Stegostoma tigrinum: one gene and its partner. The protein of the gene in region 1 interacts with the protein of each later gene in a pairwise test. Links are inferred from orthologs where the notes say so. Each region holds a gene or a part of one and is shown in the gene's direction. Other genes may lie near its edges.

The links. The genes of interacting proteins can lie anywhere in the genome.
Region 2: the proteins of golga1 (region 1) and phosducin-like protein 2 interact in a two-hybrid assay, tested with the Homo sapiens proteins (2 studies listed by BioGRID). The two-hybrid records come from large-scale screens. The link is inferred for Stegostoma tigrinum from reciprocal best matches to the Homo sapiens genes GOLGA1 and PDCL2.

What each region holds. Positions count from the first base shown.
Region 1 is NC_081382.1:26,349,033-26,356,009, reverse strand, and holds the start of golga1 (golgin subfamily A member 1), read left to right. Parts: upstream 1-3,934; 5' UTR 3,935-4,066; intron 4,067-4,155; exon of another isoform or gene 4,156-4,344; intron 4,345-5,534; 5' UTR 5,535-5,724; coding exon 5,725-5,856; intron 5,857-6,977. UniProt on the Homo sapiens protein: Involved in vesicular trafficking at the Golgi apparatus level. Involved in endosome-to-Golgi trafficking. Mechanistically, captures transport vesicles arriving from endosomes via the protein TBC1D23.
Region 2 is NC_081354.1:108,850,277-108,857,441, reverse strand, and holds the start of phosducin-like protein 2, read left to right. Parts: upstream 1-4,090; coding exon 4,091-4,109; intron 4,110-7,165. UniProt on the Homo sapiens protein: Essential for male fertility, spermiogenesis and acrosome formation.

The sequences.
Region 1 (6,977 bases):
GTCAATAAATTATCTCAAGCAATAGAATTGCACCCCTTTTGTTCCTTAGCTCTAGTCAAATTGATTCTGGTTTTGAATGATCTGAAACAACTTTTTCTCCAGTTCTGCTGCTTAATCTAGGCCCGAAACGTCAGCTTTTGTGCTCCTGAGATGCTGCTTGGCCTGCTGTGTTCATCCAGCCTCACATTTTATTATCTTGGAATCTCCAGCATCTGCAGTTTCCATTATCTCTGACCCTTTTCTTTTACTTTTTTTTCTGTATACTTTTTAATCAGGAATATTTAACACCACGATTTTCTTTCCTTGAGCCAAGTCTCCGTTATTGGCACAACATGATAATCTCACAAGACAGTCTGTGTCTATAATTCTTCAGTCTTTTAAACTTTATTTCATGCATTCATATGCATGCATTATAACCTTGATTTTAGGCATCATTCCTTTTTCCCTTATTCTAACTTCAACAATTAGAATTACTATTTACTAGGAAGATCCAAAGAATGAGTGATCTTAGATATAAGAAAAATGAGAGAAATTGGCCTAATTCTCCTTGGAACAGAGAAGATTAAGAAGTAACCTTATTGCAGTGTTCAAAGTTATAAACAACTTTGACAGTAAAAGAACAATATTCCATTTCTACTATTTGTATGCCTGTAACTAGGGGGGTCACAATTTCAAGTCTATAGCAAGAGAGCTCGAAGTGAGATGAAGAGAAATTTCTTTACTCATAATTGTTAGCGTTTGGAATGTGTTGCCTGGAAGAGAGATGGAGAAGGTTGTATAAGTTTCAAATGAGGTGGATATGTCATTGAAAGTGGTGAATTAGAGGGATGCAGGGATAGGACAAGGGAATGCAACATGCTGAGGAGCTCGTTGAGTCAGTAGTCAGGAAGCAAATGCAATGTTGGCATTTATTTTGAGAGGACTTGAATATAAAAGGAGGGATGTACTATTGAGGCTTTATAAGGCTTTGGTCAGGCCACGTTTGGACTATTATGTGCAGTTTTGGGCACCATATCTCAGGAGGGATGTACTGGCCCTGGAGTGGGTTCAGTGGAGGTTCACAAGAATGGTACCAGGAATGAAAAACTTAATATATGAGGAACGTTTGAGGACTCTGGGACTATATTCATTGGAGTTTAGAAGGATGAGGGGGGATGTAACTGAAACTTACAGAATACTGAATGGCCTGGATGTTGGGAAGATGCTTCCATTAATAGGAGAGACTAGGACTCGAGTGCACAGCCTTCGAATAAAGGGAATAGGACAGACGTAAGGAGAAACTTCTTCACCCAGAGAGTGGTGAATCACGAATTCGCTGTCACAGAAGGCTGTGGAGGCCAAGTCATTGAGTACATGTAACACTGAGATAGATAGGTTATTGATTATCAAGGGTTAAGGGGAGAAAGGAGAATGGGGTTGAGGAATTTATCAGCTATGATTGAATGGCAGAGCAAACTTGATGGGCCGAATGGCCTAATTTCTGCTGCTATGTCTCATGAACCAGTACAGACACGAGTTAAAGTCCTTCTGTACTAAAAATTCTATGATTTTATTAATTTACCATTCTGATATTACCTTCCCACCAGCATTTTATGCACCCATAGATTACTTTTTAATGTTCTCTTCCCGTTCCCACATCTCTACTGAATTAGTTTAAAAGTTCTTCAACAACACTTGCAAAATGTCCTGCAAGGAACTCTGATTCTGTTGAGGTACAACCCATCTGGTTTGTGCAGGTGTACTTTCTCCAGAGCCTGTTCCAGTGTCCCAGGAATCTGAAGCTGTCCTTACAACGCCATTGTTCTGGCCACACATTCATATCTCTTCTCTTCCTATTTCTGTAGTCACTTGGTAGATTGCAGTGGGAGTAATCTGCAGATTACTACTTCAAGAATGCTCCTTTATAAGCTGTAATTACCTGGATAAGTCACTTGATTGCTTGGATAGCTTTCAGTGCAACACAGCACCTTGGACACTTAACTGACGTTCTACTACATATTACAGTCATCATTTTCCCAATGCTGATAATCTAATAATTTCAGAAAACTAATGACTTGTTAGAGTAATTTAAAGTCATGTTGCTACAATTCAATCTGCAATACTTCTTTCATAACCATATTCCTCCATCTCACTTTTGGACTTCAATCTTAATTTCAATTAGTTTCTGCTTACATTTTCATCCAGGTAGGACATTTATCCTTCAATACCCCTTCAAACATCTCTAAATGCTATATCATTGAAATATGCTCCACTTATCCAACTTCATTCCCTAGAAATACTTCCAGCAGTGCTTCCTTCCCTGTTGTGTTGGACACACATTGATAGATATCTTGAAGCTATTTTGGAAATTCCTCACCTAGCTTCTCTGTCCTTCATATTGTTATTAATGCAACTCCTCACTACTATTATGGTATGTCAGTAATTTCTGAATTTTCTCCTTTCCAATATTTGGTGGCCAGTAGCATACAAATAGTGGCAAAACAGCTTACTTCAAGTTCTGACTTCTATAATTCTAACCAGCTAGAAAGACAAAAAAAGGGTCTGTTAAAAGACTCTAAACAAACAACTGTGAGACTATATAGGAGCAAATTACTGCAAATACTGGAATCTGTACAAAAAAAATGCTGGAGATCACATTGGTTCAGGCAGCAACCATGCAGAGAAAGTAATCTAAGGTTTCCAGGATAATGAAATGTGAGGCTGGATGAACACAGCAGGCCCAGCAGCATCTCAGGAGCACAAAAGCTGACGTTTCGGGCCTAGACCCTTCATCAGAGAGGGGGATGGGGTGAGGGTTCTGGTGAACACAGCAGGCCCAGCAGCATCTCAGGAGCACAAAAGCTGACGTTTCGGGCCTAGACCCTTCATCAGAGAGGGGGATGGGGTGAGGGTTCTGGAATAAATAGGGAGAGAGGGGGAGGCGGACTGAAGATGGAGAGAAAAGAAGATAGGTGGGGAGGGGAGTATAGGTTGGGAGGTAGGGAGGGGATAGGTCAGTCCAGGGAAGACGGACAGGTCAAGGATGTGGGATGAGGTTAGTAGGTAGGAGATGGAGGTGCGGCTTGGGGTGGGAGGAAGGGATAGGTGAGAGGAAGAACAGGTTAGGGAGGCAGAGACAGGCTGGACTGGTTTTGGGATGCAGTGGGTGGAGGGGAAGAGCTGGGCTGGTTGTGTGGTGCAGTGGGGGGAGGGGACGAACTGGGCTGGTTTAGGGATGCGGTGGGGGAAGGGGAGATTTTGAAGCTGGTGAAGTCCACATTGATACCATTGGGCTGCAGGGTTCCCAGGTTTCCAGTCTAGATGACTCTTCCTCAGACCTTTGAGACATCGGTACTATTAGACTATCAACTGCCTTGATTCAGTTCTGCTGGCAGCTTGCGATTGAATTAGGAACAGGACGTCTCTCGAGCCTATCTGCTATTTTAATGAGATCGTAGCTGATCATACCCTAAGGCCTATATCCCTAAATTAAGAGGGCAATATTCCATCTTGCAAAGGAGAAGCAGGCTATTCAGCCCATCAAGTCCACATGCCCCACAATCAGCAGCCTCACTTCCGTGTTTTATCTCGAGTGCAGTTTCAGTTTCCTACTTCATGTGTGGTGTGTGAATTTGTTTTAAAAAATCCTAGTGCTTTTTCACTCGGGTTCCTTGCAGCAGTGACAAGAAGATGTAACGTCTGGGAGAATTGACACGCTGTGTTGAAGGGAAATCTGGGGCCCGTTGATGTTGAATTCGAGTCCTCCGAGACTCTTGGAGCAGCACTGTCTCACTAGTTCACTCTTGATCAGGTCGATACTGTTGTTGGCGTCGTCGGCGCCTCCCCCACTGCTGCTGACGGGGATTTGTTTTGGTGGGCTTGGCTACGGTCCAATCAGCAGTCCCAATACATCAGCGAATGGGTACAATGGCACAAGTCCCCGATCTAACGTTCAATCTGATTGGACTGAAGGAAAGCCGCTGGGAACTTGATGACGTTGCGGCCACGTCGGCTGAGCGGAGGTGAGAAAGGCCGACAACAGGATGGAGCAGTAGTGTATAGAGCCTTGCTGCTAACACACACTCAGGTACTTGGTCGCCATGAGAAAGTGCCTGCTCGGGTGTCCTCGCTCTCCGGAGTTTATGGTTCCTACCGTTATCGGCAATTTCGTGTCGAACTTCTCGGAAGTGACCTGCTATTTATAACAGATCCGGCCGAGCAGAAGCTTTCAGTGGGTAGTTGATTGCTTAGTGAACCATGAGTGATGACCCAAGTTGGCCGTATCGGCGGACGCTCGGCCGCTCGCCCTCCTTTGGTGAACTAAAACCTGCTGCCGAGCCCACCTTATTGACGAGCTGCTGATTGGTGGGTTGGCTGTTCTGTCCCTCGACAGGGATGGACGCGCTTTCCGACTGGTCCCGTAAACTGTCACTCAAGAAGCTGTCAGCTGCTGTTCCGAAACAAAACAGAAATTGCTGGAAAAGCGCAGCAGGTCTGGTAGCATCTGTGAAGATCCGTTCTGAGGAAAGACCACGGGACCCCGAAACGTTAACTCTGATTTTTTTTTTCTTCACAGATGTTGCCAGACCCGCTGAGCTTTTTCAGCAATTTCTGTTTTGTTTCAAAGATTTATTCTTTCTGTTTCACGATTTCTCCCAGTAAATTCCCCATAAATGATGTTAAACTAACAGACGTGTTGCTACCTAGGTTGTCCCTCCTGTGCCTTAAATAATGGATCACCCAAGGACATTGTTCCTGAATCATGAGAAATTTATAAAGTCTGACTAATCCATTTGGAATTTATTCACCTGAACTGGCTCCAGTCCATTTGTTTGATTCCTTTTGAGTCATATTTTCTTACAGGAAAGAAACTTTGAATAATACTGTGATTAGTTGATTAGAAGTAGTTTTGAATCCCAAAGATTAGGTGACCATAACTTCTGGAAAAAGTAGCAGAAACAAAATGCTGTATTGTTAAGGAAAATGAAACAGCACATTGAATAGTCTTGTTCATAGGCAAAACATGGTCTTGTCAGAATTCTTGAAGAATGGAATTTACCAACAGTCCTTGGGGAAATAGAATGTGACAATTCTGGCATCAAAGAAGTAGCACAAAAACTGGTATCATGTCATTAAACTTTAATTAATCTTTTCTGCAGTTTGGTCCAATGTAAGCGCGACGCAAAATACTCTTTTCTCATAGTATTGGCACTGAGCCCGCGTGCAAACACCCGGTGCCCGTTTTTGTGCTTGAACTTGGGTTGGATGGAACAATTTTGAAATGTTTACTTAATTTTCTTCCCATTTCCCTTTCTTAGTGGTTACATATTTGTATGTTGGCTGCCAGGTCTTCTAAAGTAGAATTTAGGGTAGGAAACAAAGAAATGTGGGTATACAGGAGAATTGCAGTGGACTTCAGTTGTGAAACCCAAGCTGTATAGAATAATGAAACAAAGTTTTTTTTTTAAAACATCATTTCTGACATATTATGATTGCAGTTGAGAACCAGTAGAAATGTTATTTTCTTGATCTAATGTACTTTATTTTGCTGACAGGTGATGCAATGGACGGTTTTTGCAGTAGATATAAAAAGTGAGCCTTATTAAGGAGCAGCTAGGAGCCAAACAGAGTACATTGTTTTCTAAAGCACATCCACTGTCTCTCTTCCAAACTCATCTGAGACTTCAGATAACCTTAAACAGTTTGGTGGTTTGGAACACCTCTGAAAAATATAGCTGAAGAACCATGTTTGCAAAACTGAAAAAGAAGATTGCTGAAGAGGCAGGCAACACCTCACGTCCTGGTACGGCACGGATTCCAAGATCGGTCAGCAGAGACTCCATTACTTCAATAGGAGCTGACTCTGGAGAAGATATTGTATGTATTTTGTATGTCTAAAATTGAGATCTTTGAAGAGGCTTTGTGGAAAGATTGTGATTTCATCAGGCTGAATCAACAGTTGCAGTTAGTCATAGAGCTGTATGCTCAGCCTAACTCCTCCATGCCGACCAGATACCCATAATAAATCTAGTCCCGTTTGCCAGCAATTGTCCCACATCCCCCTAATTCATATATGCATCCAGATGTTTCTTAAATTATTGTAATTATACCAGCCTCTGCCACTTCCACTGGCAGCTCATTCCATACATGCAACACACTCTTCTTCATAAAAACGCCACTCCTTAGGTCACTTCTGAATCTTTCCCCTCTCAGTTTAAACCTATGGCTACTAGTTTTGTACTCCCACAACTCGGGGGAAAAGAACTTGTCTATTCAGCCTATCCATGTGCCTCATGACTTTACAAACCTCTAAAAGGTCACCCCTCACCCTCTGCTCCAGGGGAAATAATATCAGCCTATTCAGTCTTCCTCTATGGCTCAAAACTCTCCAACCCTGGCAACATCCTTGTAAATCTGTTTTGAACCATTTCAAGTCTCACAACATCCTTTCTTTAGCAGGGAGGCCGTGCAATATTCTAATAGTGGCTTAACCAATGCCCACTGCAGCTGCAACAAGACCTCCCAACTCCTGTACTCAATGCAGTGACCAATAAAGGCAAGCAAACCAAATGCGTTTTTCACTATCCTGTTTATGTGGAACTTCACTTTCAAAGGAATAACATATGAACCTGCACTCCAAGGTCTCTTTGTTCAGCAGCACTCCCCAGAACCTTACCGTTGTAGATAGGTCTTGCCCTGATTTGCCTTTTCAAAATGCAGCACCTTGCATTTGTCGAAATTAAACTCCATCTGCTGCTCCTTGGCCCACTGGCCCATCTGAGCAAGATCCTATTGTACTCTGAAGTATCCTTCTCCGCTGTCCACTACACCTCCAATTTTGGTGTCACGTGCAAACTTACTAACCACTCTCCTATGTTCACATCCAAATTATTTATATAGATGACAAAAAGCAGTGGAACCAGCACCAAATCTTATGGCACACTGCTGTTCACAGGCCTCCAATCTGAAAAGCAACCTCCAGCATCACCCTCTGTCTT
Region 2 (7,165 bases), on another chromosome or scaffold:
CCTCTATTCCTTACGCATTCATGTATCTGTAAAAATGCTTCTTAAGCATTGCAATTGTATTCATTTCTGCCATTTCCCATGGCAGTGCATTTCAGGCACTCACCACCCTATGTATAAAAGCCTTGCCTTTCATATCTCCTTCAAATCTTCCCACTTTTACCTTAAACCTAGGTTCTCTCGTAATGGACATTTCTACCCTGGAGATAAAAGACTCGGACTATCCATTGTATCCATGCTTTGCAAAATTTTGTGAGCTTCTATCGAGCTTTTCCAATCTCACCACGTAGCCAATATCCTCTAAATCAGGAAACATCCTGTTAAATCATTTCTGTACCCTCTCCAAAGCCTTCACATCCTTCTTGTAGTGTGGCAACCAGAACGGTACTCAATATTCCATATGTGGCCTAAATAAACTTCTATGCAGCTGCAATATAATTTGCAATTTTTATACTCTCTGCCCCAAACAATGAAGGCAAGCATGCCACATGCCTTCCTTACCACCTTCTTTAATCCTTCTCCTTATCAACTTGTTTTTCCACTTTCAGAGAACTATGGACCTGCATATGTAGAGCCCCCAAAGGGATCTCCCATTTACTGTATACTTCCCTGATTCATTAGATCTTCCAACATTCATCATGTCTAATTTTTTTGGACTTAACTCATCTGCCATTTCTCTGCTAAGTCTCCAGCCTATGTATATCCTGCTATATTCTCTAGCAATTGTCCTCACTATCTGCAGCTCCTGTAATTTTTGTGTCATCCGCAAGCTTATTAAGTAGGCCACCTATATTCTCCTCTAAACCATTTATACATATATATTGCTAATAACAGGGAGTCTCAGCATTGATCCCCGTGGAACACCACTGGTCACAGATCTCCAATCAGAAAAACACCCTTCCACTGCTACTCTGTATCTTCTTTGGCTACGTTAGTTCTGTATCCAACTTTCTACTTACTGTGGATCCCATATGACTTCATCATATTTTGTATCAGCCTGCATGAGGGACCTTGTCAAAGGCCTTGCTAAAGTCCATATAGACAACATATATGCCCTCATCAATAATCTTTGTCTCTTCCTCAAAAACTCAATCATTTTCATGAAACACAACCTGTCTCACACAGAGCCAATTGCCTAGCACTAATATGTTCATATTTTTCCAAACGTGAGTAAATCTGGTCCCTAAGAATCTTCTCCAATAATTCCCCTACCACTGACATAAGGCTCACCAGCCTATAGTTCCTGGATTATCCCTATTATTCTTCTTAAACAAAGGAACAACAATAGCTATTCTCCAGCCCCCGAGGACCTCACCTGTGAATAAAGAGGATACAAAGATTTTGGACAAGGTACCAGCAATTTCCTCGCCTGTTTCCCTCAGCATTTTGGAATAGATTCCATCAGATCTTTGGGATTTGTCAACCATAATTGTTTTCAAAACACCCAACTCCTTTTTTATATTGACATGTCGAGACAATCAACATACCCCTCTCAAGATTCTCCATCCACCATGTCCTTCTCCTATGTGAATACTGAGGTAACATATCCGTACATAAATTCCCTGCATTATCCTTCAGTGGATCTATTCTTTCCCTCTTGCTCCTTATGTATGTATAACATGTCTTGGAATTTTCCTTAATCATGTTTGCCAAAGACATTTCATATTCCCTTTAACCCTCCTAAATCCTTGTTTCTTTTCTGCTTTCTTTATATTCTTTAAGGGCCCTGTCTGTCTTCGGTTTCCTAAACTTTATGTATGCCTCAAATTTCTTTTTGACTAAGCCATCAATTTTTCTTGCCATCCAACATTCTGAATCCTGCCATCCTTATTCACAGGAATATGCTGGTCCTGAACTCTAATCAACTTGCCTTTAAAAGATTCCCATGTAAAGATGTGGATTTATTCTCAAACAGCTGCCCCCAATCTATATTCCCTACTTCTTTCCTAATATTGTGGTGGTTAGCCTGCCCCCAGTTTAGTACTTTCATCCAAGGATTCCTCTTATCCATATCCATAAGTAGCTTAAAACCTCTAGAATTATGGTCACTGTTCCCAAAATGCTTCCCCAATAAAACATGGATCAACTGGCCAGGCTCACTCCCCAATACCAGGTCTAATACGACCTCTTCCTTAGTTGGACTATTTACATGTGACGTCAAAAAATCCTTTTGGACACATCTAACGAACTAACACCCCCACCCACATCCCATCCAAATCCCTGGCACTAATACAGTCCCAGTAAATATATGGAAATTAAAGTCACCCACCACAATAACCAAATGGTTTCTTTATTTTTCCATAACCTGTCCACATATCTGTTCCTCTATCACCCGCTGGCTGTTGTGAGGCCTGCAGTACAACTCCATCAAAACGATTGTACCCTCCCTATTCCTGATCTCTACACATGAGGCCTTACTGGATGAGTCCTCCAAGGTGCCCTCTCTCAGTACAGCTGTGGTATTCTCCCTTATCAAATAATGCAACTCCCCATCTTTTTTACATCCTTCTTTAATTTACCTGAAACATCTAAATCTAAATGTTTATTTCAATCTTCAGAATATTTTTGATGACATCTCATTCAAGATGTCAAATAAAAATGCGTGGGATTGGAGGTTTTGTTCTGGCACAGATAGAGAACCTCAGCTACTCACAATTTATGTTAATAATTAAGGTGAGAGAACTAAATGTAAATAAAAACCCAAAGTACTGCAGACACTGGAAATCAGAAACAAAACCAGAGATCGTTGGAAAGCTAAGCTTGTCTGGCAGCATCTGTGGAGAGGAATCAGAGTTAACACTTTGGGCCCGGTGACCATTCCTCAGAGCTAAATGTAGCATCACTAAGTTTGCAGATAGCATAATGCTGAGTGGGTGGGTGAGCAATGATGAGGATGCAGAGGAGCTTGAGTATGATTCCTAGAACCAAGTGAAAATTTGGACAATCCAAATCAGAAATGAGAAGTGAATACATTGCTCAAAGACTGGCGTGGGATAAGACTGTTCTAGTTCATGGACACTAGCACCTGCAGTGAGGACAGTGGGATCTATACCAATGGGACAGTCTCCATGTGAACTGTGTTGGGGCCTGTGTTCTTACCAACCATATAACTGGAGAAATACAGAGGCTTTTAAACCAAATAATGGAGGCAAATATTCAAATTTGGAAACTGTGTTAAATCAAAGAATAAAGGCCAAAGAGAAAGATATTATACTGGAAAGTTAAACCAATTATGACAGACAAAGATAGAATACAAATTTAAAACTCAACCAACAGATATGACTAGAAATTACAAAGAGTAAAAGGATAAAGCTGAAGGCTCTGTATCTAAATGCCCAAAGTATTTGATAATACCGCGAGGCAATGCCCTAGTGGTACTACTGCTGGACTGTTAATCCAGAGACCCAGACAATGTTCTAGGGCCCAGGTTTGAATCCCACTTCAGCAGATGGTGGAATTTGAATTCAATAAATGTCTGCAGTTAAGAATCCAATGATAACCATGAACCCATTATTGATTGTCAGAAAAAATGATCTGGTTCACTATTATCCTTTAGGGAAGGAAATTGCCATCCTTACCTGGTCTGGTCTACATATGACTCCAGACCCACAGCAGTTGTTGAGTGGTTGACTCTCAACTGCCCTTTAGGCAATTAGAGATGGGCAATAAATGCTGCCTGGCCAGCAATGCCCTCATCCCATAAATGAATAAAGAAGAAAAAAATGAACCTAGAGTACAAATATAAATGAATAAGAATGATCTGGTAGCCATTACGATGACAAAACTACAGGAAAGAAAAATTAGGAACTGAATTTTGAAGAATACAAGATATTATGAATAACAGGAGACTGAGAAAATGTGGAAGGGTAGCTCTGTTAGCTAACAGTTATTTTGATACAAAAGAGAGGAACAACCTAAAAATCAGGAAACTGTGGAAAAAGTTTAGGTAAAAATGAGACATGATAATAGCAAGAAGTCACAAGCCCACGAACATTAACTACATGTTAGGGCAGAGCATAAAGAAAGGAATAATGAGAACTTAACAGACAGCCCAGTGATAATTATGGGAGAGTTTATTGTATATATTAGCTAGATGAATCAAGTAGGCAAAGGTAAGTTTGATAAAGAGTTCATAGAGTATTTTTGGAAATACGTTTTTTCTTAGAACAGCATTGGAACAAAAAAAATGGAATAGGAGTAGGCCATTCAGCCCTTTGAACCTTCTCCACCATTCAATGCAATCATGGTTGATCATCCAACTGAATTGCCTGCTCCCACTTTTCCCCGCATATCCTCTGATCACTTTAGCCCAAAGTGTTTAATCCAACTCCTTCAAAATACAATATTTTGGCCTCAACTGCTTTCTGTGGTAGCAAATTCACCACTCTATGAGTGGTATTCTGAGGCCAAATATAGAGCAAACATTGGTAGATCTGATATGTGTAATGTGATAGGATTAATTAGTGATTACATAGTGGAGGCAGCCCTAGGTAGCAGAAACCATTATATAGTTGAACTTAACATTCAGTTTGAGGGAGGAGAGCAGGCACAAGGTCATTTTTTTTAAATTGAATAGGTGAAATTGTGAGGGCATGACAGCACAGTAAGAGGTTAAAGAACACGTCAATAACAATGCAATGGCAGATGTTTAACAGAATATCTCAGAGTATGCAGAATAAATACATTACAACATGTGACAAAAATTTCAAGCGATAGGAAAAGCATCAATTTTTAACCAGAAATGTTAAAGATGCCGTCAAACTAAACGAATAAGCCCATCAATGTCAAAGACAGGTGGCAGGCCAGAAGTTGGATGAAATTGTAGCTGCCTCTGGGCTGCTAAAACACAACTAGATTGTGTTAACTTGGCCACACTCCAAGAGGTGGCTGGGTACATTGGCCAAGTAAAACTCTGAAATCATGAAACCCACACACCAGACACATTGCAAACGCAGCAGCCAAATGCTAATGACATTAGAACGATGTGAAAGGCAGCAGTTACTGTGGACAGAATCACCCCCAATAATGTATTCTCTAAACAAAGGAGAGCACAGTCAGAAAAGCACTGGGTCCTGTTACACAAAGAAACTAACAGTAGCATGCCATCTAAATGATGGACTCTTGTTTCAACCTATTACATGTACCTCCTTGATTGGCCAGAAACGTGGAAAGTTACAGAAAACCATCCAAATGGCATAAAAACAGTGTTCACCTGCAGCCCTCTCTCTTGGGACTCTCTTGAATCCTATGAGGCTTTACGAGGAGAACAGCATGGCAAGAGGCAGAGACCAACTGACCATCCAGACGGAGAGGTGAAGAAAACGACTTCACAGAGACAGAGGCGCAGAGAGAGTGACTATATAAATTTACAATGACTCAGGAAGTATTGGAACCTTAAGCGGCCAAAAAAGATTAGGGATAGTATACTTAGTATTAAAGATTATTATAATTTTGTTCCTAATAATGTGGAACTATTTTGCTTTGGTACCAGCTTGTGTTCATATTGATTTGACCACCTTGGTATTGTGGGACACCTGGGCAAATTCGCTCACAACATTCTGGTCGGAGTTGCCTGTAACTTGTTTAAAGAGTAACCAGACAACATTTGGCATCCCCTGTTAAGAGACTTTGGTTTGAAGTGACCCTAAGGGTCTTCCACACCTGAACTGTCAACCTTGTCTGGTGTCTTTCATGGTCAGCCTGAGCTGGTTGTTAAGAGGTCAGTTGCCCCACCTAAAGGACAAGATGTAAGTTGAACTTGTGAGACACTGGCACTGATCACAACTGAACCATAACCAGTGACCTTAGACTGTGACAGGCAAAGCACGAGCCAGGTGTTCTACAGCCAGAGTGAGCAAAGCATGAGCTGGAAAAGGGTAGCAGTGCATAGAGGGACTGCAGGAGGCAGGGTGGGGAGAGGGGAGCAGGCATTTACCTCTTGTGTAGAAACCTTACAGACATTTTGGACTCCTTGAAAGAATCAGGGAGCTTTATTTTATTTCTTTTCAGTTCCAGTGAGTAGAAGGAAATTTCCTGTGAATTTCAAATCCGTGTTGCCCCTGTCCTGGGAGTGTTCTATGGAGCAGAGCTGAGGAGGTTTGATTTTTAGTTTATTTTGAGTTTGAATGAATAGAGGAAAGTTTACTTTGTATTTTGATCCAATGTTGCCCCAACAGTATTTGTTGGGGACAGAGTCAGGGAAAAGTCATTCTTTATTTAGACTTGAAGGAACTTTATTTTGAGTTCAAGAGAGCTGAGGGATCTTTGAGTTCCAAACAGTCAAAGAAACTTCAATTTTGCATTTAAAAGAAGTAGAGACATAGGCAGCCATTGACATGTCTACATGCTTCACTAGCCCAGTCAAAATAACTGCTGAGTGTTTGAAAAGTATCTGGAACAAGTAGTCAGAGATTGTGTTGGGGACCGAGGAATAGGTATAATACACAGGTTTAAGAAACTACAGTCAGGCCACAAGAAATGGCTAAAGACCTAACTCTGAGTTTTGTAGTTCTAGTTGTACATATCTAAACATTTTGAGAGGTTGCAACAAGAATTTAGCTGAAGCTTTACCCCAACTACAACTATTTCCCATAACTTAATAACATATTAAGAGAAATCCAGTAGAGGACCTATCAATAATATGCTTGCTAGCAAAATGGGACAAGTCTCCCCTCATCCAACATGGGAGGACACTCTCAGACAACACCTTTGTAAAAATTGGCCCAAATGGACAGAATTCTGTAGCAGCCTAAATTGCCCCTGGACCACAGGGTCCATGGCCCAAGGCTTAAGGCAATAAACACATAACAAGTTAGGAAAGAAGGCTATTAAGATAAGCACAGCAATTGCAATAGCATGTAGCCTAAAAGACTCTCAAAAACTGGACGAGATTAGATTGCTGCAAGAGTGATTAAAAATCATTGCTGATAACTTGAAAAAGTTAAAACTTGTCATTAAAGAGCAGAGCGCCAGAATACAGGAAAATCTGATGCAGCTGGGACAGTAGCAGTCACAAGTGGAAAGAGCCCATTCTAGTGACAGGAGAGCCACTAAGGACTGGGAGGTAGCCTCAGCATACATTGACAACTGGTAAAACAGTGTAGGGACCAGTAAGCAGCCATACAGGTTGAGCAAGCCTGCAACACACAGCAATGCACATCAGGCCAAA